Schizosaccharomyces pombe: one gene and its partners. Changing the gene in region 1 together with any one later gene gives a genetic interaction. Each region holds a gene or a part of one and is shown in the gene's direction. Other genes may lie near its edges.

Region 1 (3,457 bases):
CATAAAGTACAACGAAATAAGTACCAAAAAAACCCTAGTAAAACCTAAACAAAGAGTCAGAATACTGAACAATTATAAGAATGAAAGTCCAGCGCTAATTTCAGCATATTGAGAAAAGAGGCCATAAAAGATAATGATTCACAAAGTTTTAGTAATTTTGAAAAGTGACGAAAATGATGCTTTTATAATAGAGATAACTTGACTTGACGCAATAGATTATTTTCAAAAGGGTAAGTAAATCTGTTAAGTCTAAGAACACCTTAAAATTATTAAGCACAACAAATAATTTTACGCACATCTAAAGTCTCATTCATTATTTTAATTAACTTCCGAAAAAGCATACAAAGTATCCAATACTCCGCTCATAGCTTGCCCAGAGCAAAAAGGAAAATCATTTGACAGCTTTAAAAATTTAACTCGCATATTTCTTAAAATATGGTTCAGTTGGTGCTTTGAGCAACATGAATTCTATGTAGGCTCAATTGCTTACATCGAATGGCAAAACAAATGTAGAAAGCATACAGCCTTTTTTTTCTTTAAAAAGCTGATAGGAAAAAAATATCAAAAAAAAGTATCATTTCGAAAAGGCTTTGACCAACCTTCCGGGTAAGACATAATTAAAGAAGGAAATGTAGACCTTTTTGCTCAACATAGCTTTGTTGCTGTAACAAGACTTCCGAATAATACTCACCAATCAAATTTGGTACAAAAAAGTACACGTTTGGGTCTTTCTGCTCGTTCTTTCCCATTGTAACTAATGTTGCAAAAGGAAGATACAGCGTTAGTGGTCTGCCATAAAGCTTACCGCAATATCGCTTTCCGTTGGAATACGCAAAAAAAATATTACCGCCCGTACGAAATCACCGTAATTAATATTATAAAAGGCCAACGTAGGATTGTTTTCGTTTCGCTAAGCTTATTACCTTCTTTGGAACAAAACACTTGCGCGACAATCATAACCTAGCTTATTTAAGGTTACCTTGACTCAGTTCAATTATTAATGGTTTTGCACGAGTAATTTCTTTCATGTTTGTAGAATTATGAATTAAAATATTTAATAAAATTATTTATCTATTTTTTTAAGCTGTTACTGAGAAACAGTTCTTGATTTAACTATTTTTTTTTTTTTTTTTTTTTGACACTGTCAGTAATAATCTCGAAACATCATTGCGTAAAACATTTCATAGACAATCATTATTAATATTTCTTTAATAAATTAATATTTTTTCTAATTTCCTATAACAGCAGCGATTTTTGGAAACAGATAAAGTAGTAAAAGATTAAACCTATACATCTCACCATTTTTGACAATTCGAGTAAGGTAATGTAGACGCATTTGACACATATATGATCTCTAAAACAATTAAAACACTTATTATCACAAAGATATTTTTTTCATTCAAGCAAACAAAGCGAAAAAAAAATAAAAATAAAAAAAGAATTCTTAGTATTCTTCCTTACTACAAAAATTCATACTCTGACTTTATAAGTGTACTACAAATGTATAAAGTACATATAAGAATGGTATCTATTTATATTTTTTTAAAAGCATTATCCAATATCTTTTTAGCATCATCATGCGAGATCACAGTTAGGCTTTCATCTGGTGGCCATCCTTCACCGCCAGTACATATCTATATGTCTGCTCTCATTAAAGTTTGTAAAAAGAGTAAGCCTCACCTCCAAACACATTGCATAAAAAGAAAAACATATTGCGTAAAACACCTTGCGATAAGTAATTTTCAAAGTTTTATATTACAACGTTTTAGCTGTTTTTTATTTTGTTAGATAGGCTTAAAATTTCAAGTGAAATCAATCAGGAACGATTGAATTTATAAATTTAATGAAATCAGTCGGTCATTTCGTTCCGTGGCTCACTGATATAAGGCACCTGACGGATGGCACTATTAGTGAAGTGTTCGTGGGTGAAAGAAAGAATAGCAAAAAACTATATGTTATTAAAGTTCAAGGTTTAGTATTTAAAAGGCCACCTCACGATGCCATGAGAGGCAAGCTTATTTTAGAGTCAATAGGCCATCCACACATTGAAAGGATAGTGGACTCTTTCATAGACAATGAAGCAGGATCCGTTTACCTTATAACGAGTTTTAAATCGTTTGTTCTATCAGATGTGATGGATGAAATTTCAATTGATACAAAATGCAAGATCGTATTGCAAATAAGTAGCGCCCTTGAATACCTAGAAAAGCATGGGATTCTGCATCGTGATATTCATCCAAATAATATACTATTGGATTCAATGAATGGCCCCGCTTATCTATCTGATTTCAGTATTGCTTGGTCCAAACAGCATCCAGGAGAAGAAGTGCAGGAACTCATTCCCCAAGTATGTTAAAGAGAGTTTTATATTTTGCCGAACCTGCAAGATTTCTAACGTTTTTTTTAGATTGGAACTGGTCATTATAGAGCAATTGAAACCTTGTTCGGCTGTCATTCTTATGGTCATGAAGTCGATCGTTGGACATTTGGCATTCTGATCGCTGAACTATTTTCCAATCAAGCTTTGTTTGACGATGGATCTTCTGAAGGATGGCCTAGTGAATTAAGGTTAACAAGCAGTATTATTCAAACTTTGGGTACTCCAAATCCAAGCATGTGGCCTGTAAGTTTCAAATCTTTAACATTATATCTGAGCCTTTGAACAAAAACAAAACATTTTAGACTTTTTTTTTAAATAATAGGGTTTCATGCAGATTTTGCTAACTGTTTTTAAGGAACTTTCGACTTTCCCAGATTGGAATAAATTTATATTTCATGAATATCCACCCAAACCTTGGTCAGAAATTTTACCATCTGTTGATACTTCAATTCAGTATATAGTTTCGCATCTTGTCACATACTCAAATCGGGCTTCACCATCCTTCGTGATTGAGTCATTCCCTAAAGTATCTGCTAGGCTTTCACAATATGCATAAAATTTACTCTCAGGATTGGTGTAGGAAATACATAATTTATTTTAAAGGACAGTAGAAATAAACAGGTAGGCAATACTACCGTAGGAATTAATTATCTTAGCTTCAGTTAATATTCTTTTGTCTTTTTATTAAAAACTCCTTTTGATAATACTGAGTTTTATAGTAATATCCAACGTTGAATATCTAGTGCAATAAATCGCAACGATAATCTGTAATTCTACGCACAGCATTTCTTCAATCTCACATTAGGTTGATCACTTGTATTAAACAACCGAATAGGCCTACATCTGTTTTGTTTCCCACAACTTAGATACTTATTTTGGTAGCTTGATGCGCATGCTAACCGTGCACGACTACGCAATTTGGTACCGAACTCTTCCTCCCTTCTCACATCTACCTGAGCATTTAATGCCGCTAAAAATTGTATTGGAAGATAATAAAACATTCTTCAAATACTTTAAATTATGCATCTAGCCTAGTGACGGCTTAAAGATGGATTTGGAAGTCGTGGAGTTTCCCTT
Region 2 (5,479 bases), on another chromosome or scaffold:
ATGTAACATTTTGAATTCTTCGCTTTGAAAGATCCCAAAAAGAAAGGTCACCAATGGGGTTGGAAGAAGCTAATATTGGTGTCCCATCAGTACGGAATGAACATGAAAGAACTTGGCCATCTTGTTTGAATTCCATGAGTATTGAACCATTTTTAAGATTAAAGATTACAATACGACCACTAATAGTACCAACAGCTAAAACATCGAGGACAGGGGCTTGTGTTAAACTAGTGATTCCATCACCAAAAAATTCCTGAAATTCATGTACACGTTTAGAAACACGCAAATTCCAAATCTGTAATGCTCCATCTGAGAATCCTAGCAGTATTTTGTTCAAATAAGTGCTTGGATGTAGTAAACTAGTGATATCTGCATTGGTATTAGGAAGAAATGTAGTATGAAGCTCAGGAACACTATATTTAGAAGCGTGTTTCCATACATAAACATGACGAGAAGATGTACAAGCAATAATCCACTCACCAAAAGCATCTAAATGAGTGACTGTTCCATGTTCTTGCTCCACATCAATGTCCCATATTATTTTACCACGTTTATATGCAAAAATTTTTGATCCGGCAGCTACAAGCATGAAATCTTTAAAGGATTTTAAACAAGTAATTTCCTTGTCTAATTGCTTGCCAACGAAAAGCAAATTCAACTTTTCGCAGTCATATGTTTGAAATGTGTTTCCCACCGACGTTGTTACCAAAAAATGGGTTCCACGAGCCTCAATGTCGAAAGGTACTGCATTGGAAACGTGACCGATGGATCTAAAGGCTAAAAATACAGTTAGCAATCTGTTCATTCCAAAAGAAAAAGAGAGAATTTTGACTTACGAGCATAGATCCTAGATTTTCTTAGAGGCTTCACCGCATTTTCATAAGTCCTCCGTTTCTTCTCTGCAAATGGCATTTTATCACAGGAAAGAACACAAATAGCACGTAAAATGGCAAAGGATGGCTCTTGTCCTGTAACTTGCAAAAAGCAGTGTTTGTGAAATTCTAGCAACCCTTTACGACCTACAGTAATAATCGTTAATTTACGACAGTGTATTTACTGAAATCGATAAATGTGTTTAACGATATGGTCAATCCGTCATATATCAATTTTCGGTAATTATAAATAAGAATCGTTCTGCTATTGTTCCGTTTATTTAAGTAAACAAATTATTTATTATTAAAAAAAAAAGAGAACTAAACATTGATGTCTAATGTTATTGTAAGATTTAATCGTAAAAACATGTTAGCAAAACTTCTACATTCTCTTCAGAATACCTAAAGAACTCTATTCACATATATCAAAAAGTGGTAAGGTAAATCTATGATTGTTGGAATTCTGGGCTTGTAAATAATGAAATAAATTTCAGTAAATTCTTAAAAAATATTTTTCTTTATGTAAAAGGTGCGAGAACAATATACTCTTGAACCCAGCTAGTAGAAGTAATTTTTTAATGTTTGTTGCTTGTAAAATTTAAACATTCCAGTCCACGTGTTTTCGCACGGACGAAAAGTAAAAACCTATTAAACAAAAATTTTTTCTAATTCTTTTTTAATTTAATATTGATGGATTTTACAAGCTTTTACTAAACTGGAAGAATACGTTTTTGAAAGAAGAATAACAGAAACTGGGCTTGGTTAAAAAAATTTTTATGAAAACCCAAATTAACTAACCCAGTATAATTAGTAAAAAAGTTATTCATAGAAGCATTACTGCGAAACAAATTCAATATTCACTGTCCACTTCATTTAAGCAACAATTTCTTATTTATTTACATTTCGTTAGGTAAACAAATGTTACCTCGCTGAATTGTAAGGTTAACCGTACAAGTAACATTGATCGACTAGGTGTGTACTAACACCGTGTACCTACATCTCTCATAACCAAACAAGTGAGGGAATTGGCCATTGAAAGAATACAAGTGGGAAAAAGGTGTTTTAAGCGTTATTAAATATTTTAACGTAGTTGAATAATAAAGGATGATTCAAAATGCAAGTCATCTTACATCTATCGACACAGAGTCATCTACCAGAACGGCGTCGCCTGTTTCCTCAATCGTTACACCTACTAAACGAAATGTAGTTGGAATCTGTGCCATGGATGCCAAAGCTCGCTCAAAACCATGTCGGAATATTCTGAACAGAATCATCGCAGAAGGTGAGTTTGAAGCCATAGTATTCGGTGACAACATGATTTTGGACGAAGCTGTGGAAAATTGGCCTGCTTGTGATTATTTGATATGTTTCTACTCTAGTGGATTTCCATTGAAGAAAGCTGAAAAGTATGTCGAGTTGCGTAAACCTTTTTGTGTAAACGATGTAGTATTCCAAGAGTTGCTTTGGGATAGACGGCTTGTGTTGAACATCCTTGATGCCATACGTGTTTCCACCCCTCAGCGTTTGATTTGCTCTCGTGATGGAGGTCCTAAAATTAATAAAGTCCTAGAAGAAAAGTTGCGTCGAAAGTTTGGAATAGAAATCACAGAGGTTCCTACCCCAGAAGTAAAAATGTTGGACGAAGATACTCTTTCTGTTGATGGCAAGATAATAAAGAAGCCGTACGTTGAAAAACCAGTCTATGGTGAAGATCACAATATTTATATTTATTTCCCTAAATCCGTTGGTGGGGGAGGTCGCAAATTATTTCGTAAAGTCGCAAATAAGTCTTCAGATTATGATCCAGATCTTTGTGCTCCACGCACTGAAGGATCTTTTATTTACGAGGAATTCATGAATGTCGATAACGCGGAAGACGTAAAGGTTTATACCGTGGGTCCTCATTACAGCCATGCAGAAACCCGCAAATCACCCGTAGTGGACGGAATTGTGAGAAGGAATCCACATGGTAAGGAAATTAGGTTTATCACCAATCTTTCAGAGGAAGAAAAAAATATGGCCTCTAAGATATCAATTGCGTTTGAGCAACCTGTTTGTGGATTTGATCTTCTTCGTGTCTCAGGTCAGTCGTATGTGATTGATGTGAATGGATGGTCCTTCGTCAAGGATAACAACGATTATTATGATAATGCTGCTCGAATTTTGAAACAAATGTTTCATGTTGCCGAACGTCATAGACGGAATCGTGTACCTTCAGTCCAAGAAGTTTTAAATCCTCCGCCTAGAGAAAGTGAGGCATGGAGACTTAAAAGTTTGGTCGGAGTCCTGCGTCACGCGGATCGTACACCTAAACAAAAGTTTAAGTTTTCATTTACATCTGATCCATTTGTAAAATTATTGCAAGGTCATACCGAGGAAGTTATTTTAAGAAACGAACAACTCAATTCTGTTTTGGCAGCTACCAACCTTGCTACAGAACTCAAATGCGAAGATATCAACAAGTTAAAACAGTTACGCTTAGCTTTGGAAACGAAGAAAGACTTACCGGGGACAAAAGTGCAACTTAAACCGGCTTATTCCCCAGAGGGAAAGCTTTTGAAACTGCAGCTAATTATCAAATGGGGTGGTGAATTTACTCATTCCGCGAGATACCAATCTAAGGATTTAGGAGAGCAGTTTCATAAGGACCTGTATATTATGAATCGTGATTGCCTGAAAGATGTCGAAATATACACATCTTCTGAAAGACGTGTCTCTGCTTCTGCTGAAATTTTTGCAATGGCCTTTTTGGAGCAAGAAACTATTCCTAGCGACTTACTCAAAGTTCGCAAAGATCTGTTAGATGATTCTAATGCTGCCAAGGATACTATGGATAAGGTTAAGAAACACTTGAAATCATTATTAAGAGTTGGAGATACGGCTAGAAAGGAGTTTACTTGGCCAGAAAACATGCCCAAGCCTTGTGAAGTAATGCAACAAGTTGTTCAACTCATGAAATATCATCGCGCAGTAATGAGAGAGAATTTTATTATTTTGGGACCTGAGGTTGAGCAAGTTCAATCGCGTTGGTGTTGTAATGAAAATCCTGCGCTCTTTAGGGAAAGGTGGGAGAAGTTGTTTAGCGAATTTTGTGACTCTGAGAAAGCAGACCCATCCAAGGTTTCTGAACTATACGATACATTGAAGTATGATGCTCTTCACAATCGGCAATTTTTGGAACGCATATTTACTCCCTATCAGTATCTCAAATTGCCTCAGAGTCCAAGCTTGATTGCCAAAGAGCCTCCCCAAAGAACCGATAGCAATGGCAATCTTGTTGGGATGACCGGTGCAAATACTAATCACACTGAAAGGCCGTTGGAAAAGTTGTATGAGCTATACGATTTAGCAAAAGTATTATTTGATTTTGTTTCTCCTCAAGAATATGGTATAGAACCGAAAGAAAAGTTAGAAATTGGTTTATTAACAAGTGTACCGTTGCTTCGTCAAATCATACATGACATTAAAGAGGCACGAGATTCTGATCATGCTTCAACAAGAATGTACTTTACTAAAGAGTCTCATATCTATACCTTGCTTAATTGTATACTTGAATCAGGACTACCTATGAAATTACCTAGAAATCAAATTCCCGAATTAGATTATCTCACTCAAATATGCTTTGAGTTATTCGAGAGGACTAATCCTTCAGGAAATAAGGAATTTTCTGTTCGTATCACACTCTCACCAGGTTGTTATGCCCAATGTCCATTGGATATGAATCTTGATGCTAAACACTGTATTAGCGTTTCACCTCGCAGGTCGCTTACAAGACATTTAGACCTTCAGCAGTTTATAACGAAAACCGAGGACCTCTGCAACTCAGTTCATCTTCCCAAAAGGTTTATTCCTGTTAACATTAATTAACCGCTTTTACCCTTTTTACGAATGTTTTGATAACATAAACATTTTTTAAACGATATTTTATTAGTAATTGCACATAATTAAACCAAATTATTTATTAAACCTTGGTTAATAATTTTGTCTGAATAATTTGTTGTTCGGGTTGCAGTCACGGTGCCGCGGCAATTCCGAACGTTGATCGCAGTCCATGATTGCAATCGAAAACATCGTTAACCAACATCACCAATTTTTGTGAGTTCCATTTAACGTTGGATATCAAGCAAGATGTCGCTTACTCCGGATGAAAAATATGAGTTGATTACTCGTAATCTTCAAGAGGTGCTTGGCGCCAAAATGATTCGCGAAATTTTGAATGAACGCGATATCAGCTTGTACTGGGGCAGTGCACCTACTGGCCGTCCTCATTGTGGTTATTTTGTGCCAATGATGAAGTTGGCTGATTTTTTAAAGGCCGGTGTACATGTTACTGTTCTTTTAGCCGATGTCCATGCTTTTTTGGATAACATGAAGGCGCCGATGGAACTCGTTCAACACCGTGTTCGTTATTATGAAATTATTGTCAAATCTATTCTAAAATCGTTGAATATTCCCATTGAGAAGCTTCGTTTTGTCATTGGCTCCAGCTATCAGCTGAAGGAGGATTATACCCTTGATAACTTTCGACTTGCTGCATCTACGACAGAGCACACTGCTCGTCGTGCCGGTGCAGAAGTTGTCAAGCAGGTCGCTAGTCCTCTATTGTC
Region 3 (6,523 bases), on another chromosome or scaffold:
AAAACAAATATCGCACTCAGCCAAAAAACGTGGTTTTAAAAAAACAGTACGGAAGGGTAAAATCGGTCAAAAATTATGAAATTTAGTTGAGAGAGGTAATTAGCGTGATCACAGAGATAAAGTGTAAAAAAAAATAAAAAATGTGTTAAAGATATCTAGACATTGTGAAGTGGTCGTAAAAAAGAAATGTCATGACTTGAGCAATAACGATTATAGTGAGTTTCAAGAAACGGGTTTTTTAGGAAGCAACTGGAACTAAAAGTGAAAAAAGTAACGTTAGTAAGAATTGATAGATTGATAGAAAGAAGTAAAACAAGTAAATTAGTAGCCAAATCGTAACGAAAACAGGGATGAGATCCTACACTCCATTTCGGAAAGCCGGGCAGTTAGGGAACATGAGAAAAATCACCCGAGCGGTATATCGCAAGCGGGTCGAAAATTTTAGTCAAAAAAGAGAGTTGAAAGAAAGTTTAACGAATTTGGACTAGTCATAAAAATAGATAAAGAGAGCTTGGGCATACCTTTTCAGCTAAAGAGCGGACGGTGTCGGATGGTTGTGCTCCTACACTTATCCAATATTTAAAACGTTCAACGTTGAGCTGGATATCTTTTATACGAGGAATGGAGTCCTGAGAATCAATCTTCTTAGGGATGGGATCAAAAGTGCCGATGGTTTCGATAGGTTTGGCTTGAGGTGCTTTCCTATATTGAGTTAACAAAGTCGAACCAAAAGACAGGAATGGATGAAGGAGAAAAAAAAGGATGTACAGGTGATATGTAAACAGTTAATAGAGGCCAAGGGGGCCAAACCACAATAAATAGTCAATTAATAAGAAAAATTGTGGTTGGTGTCCTTGGCATTTTGAATACTATGTAGAAAGACTAGATTAAATAGATGAGAGCATCCAGGAATACCTGAAAACTAAAGCTTCTAAAAAAGATCGCAATTTAGAGCCAAAGGAACCGTCAAAAAAAAGCAGTCTTTTAGCATTTTATCTTCCATTCTTTCATAACCCACATCAAGCCATCTCCCTTACTAAATCCTGTACAAAAACTTTCCCCTTTACGTGAACCGCTACAAGTGTTGTAAAACACGAAACAACCGTCTAGGTATGTTTTCATCCTACTTACCATGCATTCGCAACTACGATATGGTAAAAAGGTCTATTTCTGACGCCATGACGCGCCAAACGAATTTTTACTACCATTGAGAAGAGCCGGTTTTCAACGAGTCCTACAAATCCCGTCTTTCCCACTTGGTGGTAGGAGTATGGTTAAGAGCAACTTGAGTAAACACGAAGACAATGCAGGTATCAAGGATGGAAAGCAGATGGACGTATCGTATTGTGCACTCCGTTGTTTATAAAATAGCGTTGTGCCTTGCTTTTCGTTCATACTTACAAACAAAACATAATTTCAAAAGATCATTTCAAACGTTTTCTGGGATAGAAATTACGTTCTTTTCCTTCCATTTATCTTTCTACTTCCTGCTGACTCTATTTCTCTTTATAAGCAGTGTGAATTGATCATATTCACTACCCCCGGAGTGAGATACAGCACGAATTACGGTAACACGAATACTACAAAGCGAGCATTCTCCACGTTGTTCAAGGTATGCTTTGCTTGTATCGAGTTTGCTAAACAGGAATACTGTAAGCGATTGTAGAATGCGTATACGAGATACCATAAACGAACGTTACTCATGTAATGCGTAGTTTGCCAACCTTCTTTTCACCACGCAATCCTTATAACGTAATGTTAATCGCTATAGACATTCCTTAGCTTAAGCGGCTTCGTCTACTTTTAGCTTTTTCCTCCCTCCCATAAATTCTACTTAGCGACAGCAAAACATAACTTAAGACTCGCGTAGATTGCGCATCCCTGTTGAATATTTAACTCCATCCGTTCTTGAAAATTTCTAGTGATCAAGAAAGCTATTGATTGAATCTTAGAGGGTTTTTGTTGCTTTCGTACGAATCGTTGTTTGGGGAGTTCGGTTAATTGGTATTTTGAGATTTCCCAACACCTAGGCTTCTTTTAGTTAGCATTTTGATCTTGTTCTGAATTGCCCATTCTTTTGGTGTTGTTACGAATTGCTGGATCCACTGACATTGATTTTTGCCATCGTACTCCCGGTTACTGTCAAGTCAGTGTGTTGTGTCGACGGATTCAAGCAAAATAGGAACATCGGATTGAAACGTTTCTTTGGACATCGCTTTGTGGATGAACGGTGCTAGGTTTTAGGCTAGTAGCAGTTTTAAGACTCATTACATATCGGAACACCTGAAGATTTGACGTTTACATCCTGCCTTGCGTCAGTTTCTACTCCTTTCTTCTCCGTCATCATATAATTGCTGTCAATTCCTTATAACGCAGCTTGGGGGCCAATTTTTACTATATTCCCCTTTATATATTTAGTTTTTATAAGTTTTTCTTCTTTCATTGTTTATCCTGTCAAGCTTGTTCATCTTGTCTCGTTTACTTGGTTAGTTCGTGAACGAGTGCGTTCTTGGGGTCGCTTACCTTGAAGATTCCTGTTCAACCCGGTTTCATAATAATTCAACTTGAAAGAGGAAAAACCTAATTTTTTGTTGTTTTATACTTTCCTTCGCTCAAAGACAACTACTATAGGCGTTTTCTTGGGTTCCAATTTTATTTGCTTTCCTACTACAATTTCCACCCATTCTATCTTTCCTTTAGTTTTCGCTTCCTCTCCTTTTTTGAAATAATCCCGCTTTTCTTCTAATTTCTCGTTTATTAAACGGTGTATTGTTAAATTTTTTTTTGCGGTTAGCGTTTCATCAACAAGAAGTTCGGAAATTCGAATTCTCTCCATTACTACTGAGTGTTTTTTCTTTTTTCTTTTTTTAATCTTTCTCTTTTTGTCTTGGAAACTTTTCATTCTTTAAATACCTATAAATACCTTTCGTTCTCCTTGACTCATATCCAAAACGACTGTTTGGTATTCGCTTCGCTATGTGTCCTTCCCAACACTCGTCGCTCAAGGATATTCATCGTCAACTCGAAAACACTGCGATTTCCAATCCCACTGAAAACGCTGATCCATCCAGTTATGTGGATGGCTCAAATATCATGGATTTCAAGCACCCATCCATAGTTTCGTCTTCAGCATCTTCTTCATACCCTATAAGCCACGTGCCCTCTGTAGGAACTCGTGGTATACCACGATCTTACTCTATGGCGTCTGCGTATCCATATCAAGTCAATTCCAATTCAATGGACGCTTCTACTGCCTTCAATCTTAACCAAGACGTTGCTGACAAACCTATGTTGGCACGTAACTCTATTGACTCCTCCATCAATACGGAATTAGGCCCACTAGAATCAAATCATTGGTTTACACAAGCGCAGGATCACTCCCGACAGTACTCAAGTAGCTGGGATCCATCCATTGATCCTTTTGAAGTCAAAAACTCTTTACATGATTCAACGGATTTATCAATCACACATCACCCCCATTTACCTATAAATCATCAAGGGAACACTTGGAAGCATGCAAATGAATCCTTACAGAGCAATCAAGGTCCAGTTCCCAACACAAAGTTTGTCGGTTTGGAGACTACTCAAACGGACTCTTACCAACAATCTTCGGTAAATTCTGTTGTTAAGATCGAGGAAGCTGACGCAACTTACGCTCTTCGTGAGGAAAGCGGTCAGTTTAATACTTTTACTGGTGCTGAAAATCCATCGATATCTCCACATTCCTTGAACCCAAATTTCCCCCAGTACACTGAAAAACCGGCTTTAACGCTATTGCAGAGCCCGAAGCAAAATTCAAATTATGATACATCTAATTTTCAAAACTCTGTTTCAGATTCCTCCATGCAATTTACAAACGAAGGTATGCCATCGCCTGTGAAAGGAATCATGAGTTCCGATGATGCTGTCGCATTTAATTTCTCTCAATATAGTACGGTCTATCCCCAAAACGCACCTGAAAATGGTAACGAATTTGAGACACCTAACAAGCTTAAGAGAACGGTATCTTCTCCTTGTGCTTCAATCTCTTCAAAGCGTAGCTATGGGGATATTGCGCAAGACTGTTCATATATATCTTCAAAGACTAATGGTGGAGGCCCTTCAGATTCTCCTTCAAGCTCTTCGACCTCTGTTCGAGGTTCTGTAAACGATTCGAATAGCCCCATTTCTTCATCGGCAACTTTCGCTATCCAAAGCAATGGGGTGGAGCCGGTTGGTTTATCTACCCAAGAACAAAACCTTTCTCCTTTGAGCAAAAGGTCCGCTCACAATATGATCGAAAAACGTTACCGAAGTAATCTTAATGACAAAATTGCTGAGCTAAGGGATGCAGTACCGACTCTGCGCTCTGGATACAATTCTACTACAGCAGATGAGCTTAAGGGTACTTACGTTCCCTTATCGCGAAAGCTGAACAAAGCTACCATTTTGTCAAAAGCTACCGAGTATATAAAAAGTTTACAATCAAAAAATAAAAAGTTAATCGAAGAAAACAAGATTTTGCAAAAACGCTTATCAGAATACACCTCGGTCATTCAAGCTTCTTTGACCGCACCCTCCCAACCGGCTTCATTGTCTTTGCTAGGTCCTCCTGGTAACACTCCAGGACATCGCAATGTTCCGCCTATATTGAAAAGGAGTAGCATCGGTACTCCTTCTCAACAAGCTTATTTTCCAGATGCTCCCCATAATTGCCATTCGGTTCCTCAAAATAGCTCGTATCCCCGACCTCCAATGCAGGTTAATAGATCTCCTATTGATTCGATGCAAACGATTCCTCATGCAAATTTTAATGAGATGCACAATGCGTATTCCTCTAGATACCCTTTGAAATATTCAAAGTCCTGCAATGCGGTTTCGCATACATCAATGATGCATCCACAAGAATACGGTGGATCACTTCCTTCGTCGACAGTTCCCTCTGATTACAATCAACCTCAGTTGGTGTCGCCAAGGGCTCAGGCTGATCAGCAAGGATTGAGTTATAAAAACGTTGGGAGGGCTGTTCTGAACGGTCTAGTGGGATTAGAAACTGTTCATATGTTAACTAATCCGGATGATGCTGGTTCTTCCAATCGCTTTTCAATGTCAGTACTCCCAATATCTCCTTCTCTCCATAGTATCTTGCGATTTTTATTGTTGCTTTTAGCTTTTCTTTGTTTTGCCATGCATATACTTTTAACACCAGAAGCTACCTTGCGAAAATGGGCATCTTCCATATACCTCTCCTTTCGATTGGAGTGTGTTTTTATATCTTTTTTGATATTTTCTGTACCAATTTACGATTGGGGAAACTATTTAAATTTGCGTGGAAAATTGCTATCCGAATTAAATTTAGAATCTGGTGTTGCAACATAATTCCAATCACTCTTCTTTATAGTATTCTCCACTAAGCTGGAATTCTCTGAGATTACTGTTCGTGTTCTTTTGTGGATGTTTCCTTGACTACTTAACTAATAAAAGCGTGACATTATACTGCTTCCCTTATAGTTTTGGTTGGTTTTCAAGGATCTTGTTTTTGTTTTGTTCATCTTGTACCTGTGTAAGTTTTATATGACATTGACCTAATGGCCGTGCTCATGACTTCCGATTTCCTAATACGGTGATTTTACTTTGGAAGGCTTTATTACACTTTTTTAAGAAATATGATTCCTATTTTAATATTTCTTTTATGTAACTGTGCCAGTGTTTTGTCTGATTGGGGGTATGGAATGAATAGTTTTTCACTGCTCGTTGTTGGAAATAAATACTTGATCGCAATGATTTGTCAATGTATTAAGAAGTTATGTATTACTTCAACAGATGTGAACGAATTCGTTTACCTTTGCTTTTTGATGATTCGTGTTTGTTGTTTACTTCTATCTTTTTTTGCCTTAGTGTTAATTGTCGCTCTAGCAGACGACGGTAAATTAACTATTAATAATCATTTCTAACGGATTTTCTTTTTATCCAGCTCCCTCTAATGAGGCTTTATTAGTAAAATTATATAATTATATCCATTTATCTTCCATTTTTATTCTCGAATTTTTCTTGCTGTAAGATTGAAGCAGTTTGGAAATATAAAAATTATGTTTTCAAATTGAAATTGAATAGCCAATCTAAATGAAAAAAATTTTAGTGTCATCGTCAACCTTATAATTTCCCCTATATTGTATCAAATCCCAACTCCTATACTGTTTCAAAAAAATGCCAAAATATAACGACCAACATGGACCTTCTTAAAAATTTTTTAAGATTAAAAAATATAATCTTTGTTAAAATGAAAAAGATAGTAGGCAAGAGAAACATAATGAAAACCATACGGCTTTTATCCTTACTTAGTCGCTTCCTCTTCAATTTCCTGGAACTCGCGAACGACTGTGTCAGACCTTTTGAGCTTATCATTAATGAATGTCCATCTTTTCAAGGTATTCTCTACCAATCCGTCAGCACGGGGTAGTAGATTCTTGCCTACGACCTTGGGTGCAAACAAATATGGAATTAACATAGGGTGTGGAAGAGGCGTTAATATCACCAAATAAAC
Region 4 (5,263 bases), on another chromosome or scaffold:
AAAATGCTACTACCGAAATACATGGTACATACGCCAATGGTTTTGTCGCCTCCATTAACATAAAGAATTTAGCAAGGGCTTTTACATTATCAAATACATAAAGAGTTTTTCAAGCATTTTTTTCCATTGAAGAATCGTGCGTTAGTATTTCATAATGGTGAAGCAAACAGCTGTCTTCAAGACAACAAACTGTACAACACGCTTCCTCATGAAAGACACCAGCTGAGTATTCAATCATCATTCTCTTTGTAGATTTAAGAATATATCTATATTACTTATCGTTTTCGTCAAATCATTTTTTCAAACGTTTCATATGAGTATATTAGCAAGTAAACAATCAATACTTTTGGGAAATAAGCCTCTCAAAATACCAGAATGGGCGAGGTATTTCATTAAAAGTTTCGTTGACGATTTCAAAATGAAAATGTGTTTTTTGTTACAAATACGTGGAAATGGGGTGTTTACCTATTGGATGTATTCTCGTGTATTTTGAGAAAGAAGTACCAAAATTTAAAGTGAGGAAACTAAAGACTTATTTCGCTTTCAAAAGAGCTGAAGTTGCTGGATGCTTACAAGTCTTCCATTTTTATTGATAGTGGGCTTGATATGAGTCAAATCAGGCAAAAGTAATATATACACTGTTGAAAATACAACGGTCTGATAATAGTCATTCATTATCGTTCATATCCATAATCAAATGAATCATTAATTTTCAAATAAGCACAAGTTACGTTTTTTTGTTTTGTAAGGTTTTATACGAATACGCGATAGATTAAGTGAAAAAAAAAAAAAAATCAGAAATCATCAATAGTAGCACGATGAAGAAACAAGAAAATTGAAAATGACCCATCAATGGGAAACGCTCGTTTTTTTGTAAGTCCTAGGAAAGTAACTTTTAGATATATATTTGAGAGAGGAAGATCGAAACATTGAGATGATAAAATTAAAATGAATTGAGTAAGAATACTCGCTTAAACAAGGTTTTTAGGATTTCGTTTTGCGTCTTCAATCATTCGTAAAACACCTTCGGCTTGCTACTCAAAGTCAGTTTCATAGAATACGAACAAAAACCATTGAAAGCAAACACCACGTTTGAAGAAGGTAAAGGGAAATATTAAGGAAGACTTAATATTCTCTCTTTTGTGGCACCCCCAAACCCACTTCAGAACCTGGAGCAAACAGTTTTAAAAAAGATTCGCTATGTATACTTACTGATCGATCTTTTTTGTTCATTTCATAAGAAGCTCGAAGATCCGGTGGAAGTGAATTGACAACTCGTTCGGGAGATGGAGTTGTTAATTTCATTGTCATATAGCCAAATCCAACGATTCCTATTTTATATACTGGTAAGTAACACAATCTTAAGTTCGGGATAGAATCTTTTCAACTAAATCGATCCTATCTCAAAATGTCCATACCAACACCGTATACGATACTTTTAACCACACGATTCATGCTTTAGGTACAACAATTCAAAATGGAGTCTGCAAAAAGCAAACAATAATAAAGGTTGTAATACAGAGAAAAAATAACAGTAAGTATAGGCTCTTGACAGCAATGCTATTGCAGACACAGATGTTATGTAAGGCACCCTATACGTGCTATATAGACGTTCCATGGATGGTTGGCCGGTTTGCAAGGCCTTGTGAAATACGCTGTATTCCGTTATTGATCTTTATTATTTTAACAGAACAGAGCGCTGTTTCGCTAAGATTGTCGAAAAAGGTATCTCCCCGCAATGCGGTGGTAGCTTAAATATAAGGTTTTTTAAGGTAAAGTGTTAAAGGCGATTACTGCGCTATGCCCCACCACCCTGTACATGCTAATTTATTACTGCTGCCACCGCTAATCAGATCTGTCGACTTCGCCCTAACACGATAAAAGAAAATCTCTCATCTTTGTCAGGAATTCATCGTTCAAGTGTTTACAAGTGATATTAAATCTGTAAACAGTTATACTGCTTTGACGAGATTGAGCTAAAAATTTATCATTGTTACCCCCCGCGTTCGTGTCATATCAGCACCTTTGATTTGAAAAAGTGTTGCTCAACTGCGGTTTTTTTCAAAAGAAAAGTACCAAGTTGTTGATCATAAAGGATATTTTTACGCGTGATTGTTTTCTTTCTTATTCTTACACAACGATCTTAGTATTCCAAACGCATTTATTCTTCTTCCATATATAGCCCATATCTCCATACTGATTCACAAAAAGCGACGAAAGTGAAGGAGCCATTGATTTAGGGATTTTGGTACTTTTCATTGTCTCCAATTCTTTTGTATTGCCTTTTTGTAACCTAAATTTTCTTAAGACGAAGGAGCATTTGTTTAAGGCTTTACTTTTATCATATTTCTTTTGTCTTTTTCGTTTGTATGCAGAAGAAAGTCGTTCAGTCTGCTTCTAAGAATGAGGAGCTTGATCCACATTACAAGCGGTCCTCCGTTCCTTTCCCTTATGGATTACCCGATTACGATGCAGAATATCAATTCATCAATCATCATATGCAACAATTGCTTACCCGCCCAGTAGAAGGTACTCATTCTGCCTCTGTACATCCCTCCACATCTTCCACCTCTCATATCTCTTCTCCCTCTGCTTTTTCAGTGCAAAACCCAAATCCAAATGATGCTCCGTTTGTGGGAAACATTGGCTTGGATGCATCTGGGTTTTCCTCCGGTGGCATGAGTGAATACTATCCAAGATCTGTTTCTATGCAACAGTCTCAAGACGTCCATTTCCAAAATACCGAAATTCCATACTACCATCGTTCTCCATCGTCTGATAGTTTTTCACCTGGGGTGGTTGCATCTGTTAACCCTAATTCAAACAACTCTCCTACTTTTTACTCAAATCCTCCTGCATTATCTAATATTCCGATTCCCTTAAACAACTCTCCCTATCGTCCTGAAGATGCTTATTTTCAGTTACAAGGTGCTGGAGTGAAGGCAGACATAAATCCATACAACTTGTCTCCCTATTCTCAATATGGTCCAGAGGGCACTGCATATTCAAATGCGCAAGCTCATCATCAGGATGGTGCTCCTTTGCAGCGCGTTTGTTCAGCACCCGATCCTCCTAAAACCTCTATGCCACCTTTTGGATCCGCCGGGAGTCCATCTCCTAATCGTAGTTTAAACGTTTCCAACAACACGACTCCTCCTCTTTCCACTGTGAATAAAATTATAAAAAAGCCTAAAGCTACTACCGGTAAAGTTAAGAAAAGACTTCCTCAGGCCAAGAGAGCTTGCGCAAAGTGTCAAAAAGACAACAAAAAATGTGATGACGCTCGTCCTTGTCAGCGTTGTATTAAAGCCAAAACTGATTGCATTGATTTACCCAGGAAGAAACGGCCAACGGGAGTTAGAAGAGGCCCTTATAAAAAATTGAGTGATACTTCGAACAACACCAAGTCAACTACTGCATCTTCTGGTCATTCCACGCAAGATTCTCTCAGTTCTAAAATGTTGGATCCTTCAAGTGACAATCAGTTTGCCATGTCTTCCAGACAGATGGATGAAAACGGAATGGCCCAGTATCCTTCCTCAGCTATTAAACAAGAACTAAATCTTCAACCCCAGATACTTGTTTCATCTGCTTCAAAGAACTTTCAACCTAATGTCACTCCTCCTTTTGCTGTCCATCATGATCATTTCAATTCAACATCAATGGATGGTGTGGCGGTATCTAACATGGACGAAACTGGAACTTCCTCAGCTGGTTCAAAGCCTTTTAATCGAAAATCTCGAAACCGAAGTTTTACTAATCCAGTTGGTATGACCGAGGAGCATTTTCTAAGAGAATATGCGCAACACTCTGTAGCTAATCCTTCTTTGCTAATTCATCAGATCCATGGTTTACCTTCTGAACAAGTCCATGGCTTATTATCTCATACGGAACTCGGTAATGCAATGCATAATCAACCGACGTATAACGAAAGCTCAATTGCCGCTGAGAATGTGAACAATTGGATGTTAGAAACGAATGACCACGAAAATTTGTCCATGCAGAGCCATTTTGAGGTTCCCGATTTAAAAATGAACCATCACGATTCTAGCTTTTTTGACCGTCACATAGACCAAACGGCTATGCCTGGACAAAATCAACATGGTACTGTTAAGAATATGGAAACAATGCACCATTTTTATCCAGACGTTCATAATTCGGAGTTTCCTGCTGCCCCAAATCCCGTCAAGTCTCAAGTTCCTTATTATTATCAATCCCAAGCTGCTGATGATGAGGAAGAAGATGTACCGGATCATCAACCTTCTTGGCGTGGGAGAATACACTCGTTTTCAATAGCTACTGATTCGTCACAGCATGTGGTAGAAAGACCATGTATCCATTCATTAAGAGGAATACATGGACAACAGGATGGCGGGCTTGAACAACATGATGGTGATCATGTGAATATGCTTCCTGATACCCATGCGGAGGAGCTAGCGTACACATCCATGCTTTTATTTCATGATATACCTACACGAGACATTAGACCCGACTTTAACGTTCATGAGCTAGTCGATCATGGAACCTATCCTAACTTCCATCAAAACCAAGCCGATTCATTCAAGAATCATCCCTTTAGACAATAATTTTGCGCATATTACCTTTGTTTTTCTCGTTTCTTATTTTGTTTTTGCATTTGAGTGTTTCTCAGTAGATTGACCTACACTATGAATATTGTCAGACGACAGATCATCTTATGATCAAACGTAAGACAATGTGAAAAAAAAAGGAAAATGATTTTTTACTCCCATTTATTACTTTTTTTTTACTCTTCTCTCTCTCTTTGCCAAATTGCCATCTGGACCTATCTTTCTAATATCGGTCTAGTAATTTTGATATACTATGGATGCCCTTTTTGTCTTGTATTCTGCTTACATTGATTAAGAATGTTTTATCTTTCGTTTTCTTTGTGTCTATTTATATTTATTTTTGGGTATATTTTGGGAAAGAAAGTCGTTTTGGGATAAATGTGATCGTACAGATGACGAAAGAAGTTACTATATGTGATTTTCTAAGTATTTGTACCATTTAAGTGTGTCGTTTTCTTATTTTTACTGCTATTGTTATAAACGTTTTGTTATTTAGCCTATTGTGCATTCAACTTTCATTTGCTTCTTTTTCCGTTTTAGAGTTTGTAAAGAGATTTTTGTCATTATTAATCTTATTAATTTATACCAGTTTGGATATCCTGGTATAATGGCTTGACATTACACTTGCATTCATTCGTTGTGAATGTGATAAACACGATCGCATATATAATTAA

The links.
Region 2: of csk1 (region 1) and asp1, changing one suppresses a phenotype caused by changing the other (phenotypic suppression), as found in Schizosaccharomyces pombe (2 studies listed by BioGRID).
Region 3: mutations in csk1 (region 1) and sre2 together harm fitness more than expected from each alone (negative genetic interaction), as found in Schizosaccharomyces pombe (2 studies listed by BioGRID).
Region 4: of csk1 (region 1) and pho7, changing one suppresses a phenotype caused by changing the other (phenotypic suppression), as found in Schizosaccharomyces pombe (3 studies listed by BioGRID).

What each region holds. Positions count from the first base shown.
Region 1 is NC_003424.3:647,780-651,236, reverse strand, and holds csk1 (cyclin-dependent kinase-activating kinase Csk1), read left to right. Parts: upstream 1-1,671; 5' UTR 1,672-1,843; coding exon 1,844-2,347; exon of another isoform or gene 2,348-2,407; coding exon 2,408-2,623; exon of another isoform or gene 2,624-2,735; coding exon 2,736-2,936; downstream 2,937-3,457. Other genes in the region: phosphatidylinositol synthase (CDP-diacylglycerol--inositol 3-phosphatidyltransferase) Pis1, read right to left, coding at 1-44, 692-749; erd101 (EXS domain-containing protein), read left to right, coding at 3,429-3,457. UniProt on the Schizosaccharomyces pombe protein: Acts as a CAK-activating kinase that specifically activates crk1 of the crk1-mcs2 CAK complex.
Region 2 is NC_003421.2:570,970-576,448, reverse strand, and holds asp1 (inositol hexakisphosphate kinase/inositol pyrophosphate synthase), read left to right. Parts: upstream 1-1,876; 5' UTR 1,877-1,976; coding exon 1,977-4,739; 3' UTR 4,740-4,979; downstream 4,980-5,479. Other genes in the region: U3 snoRNP-associated protein Utp21, read right to left, coding at 1-777, 837-912; tyrosine--tRNA (Tyr) ligase Yrs1, read left to right, coding at 5,001-5,479.
Region 3 is NC_003423.3:550,578-557,100, reverse strand, and holds sre2 (membrane-tethered transcription factor), read left to right. Parts: upstream 1-1,805; 5' UTR 1,806-2,976; coding exon 2,977-5,358; 3' UTR 5,359-5,971; downstream 5,972-6,523. Other genes in the region: mrps16 (mitochondrial ribosomal protein subunit S16), read right to left, coding at 223-255, 522-702, 1,132-1,208; SPOM_SPBC354.04 (uncharacterized protein), read right to left, coding at 6,314-6,523.
Region 4 is NC_003423.3:1,344,572-1,349,834, reverse strand, and holds pho7 (transcription factor Pho1), read left to right. Parts: upstream 1-1,860; 5' UTR 1,861-2,369; coding exon 2,370-4,586; 3' UTR 4,587-4,723; downstream 4,724-5,263. Other genes in the region: protein Cbp4, read right to left, coding at 972-1,034, 1,213-1,331, 1,419-1,455.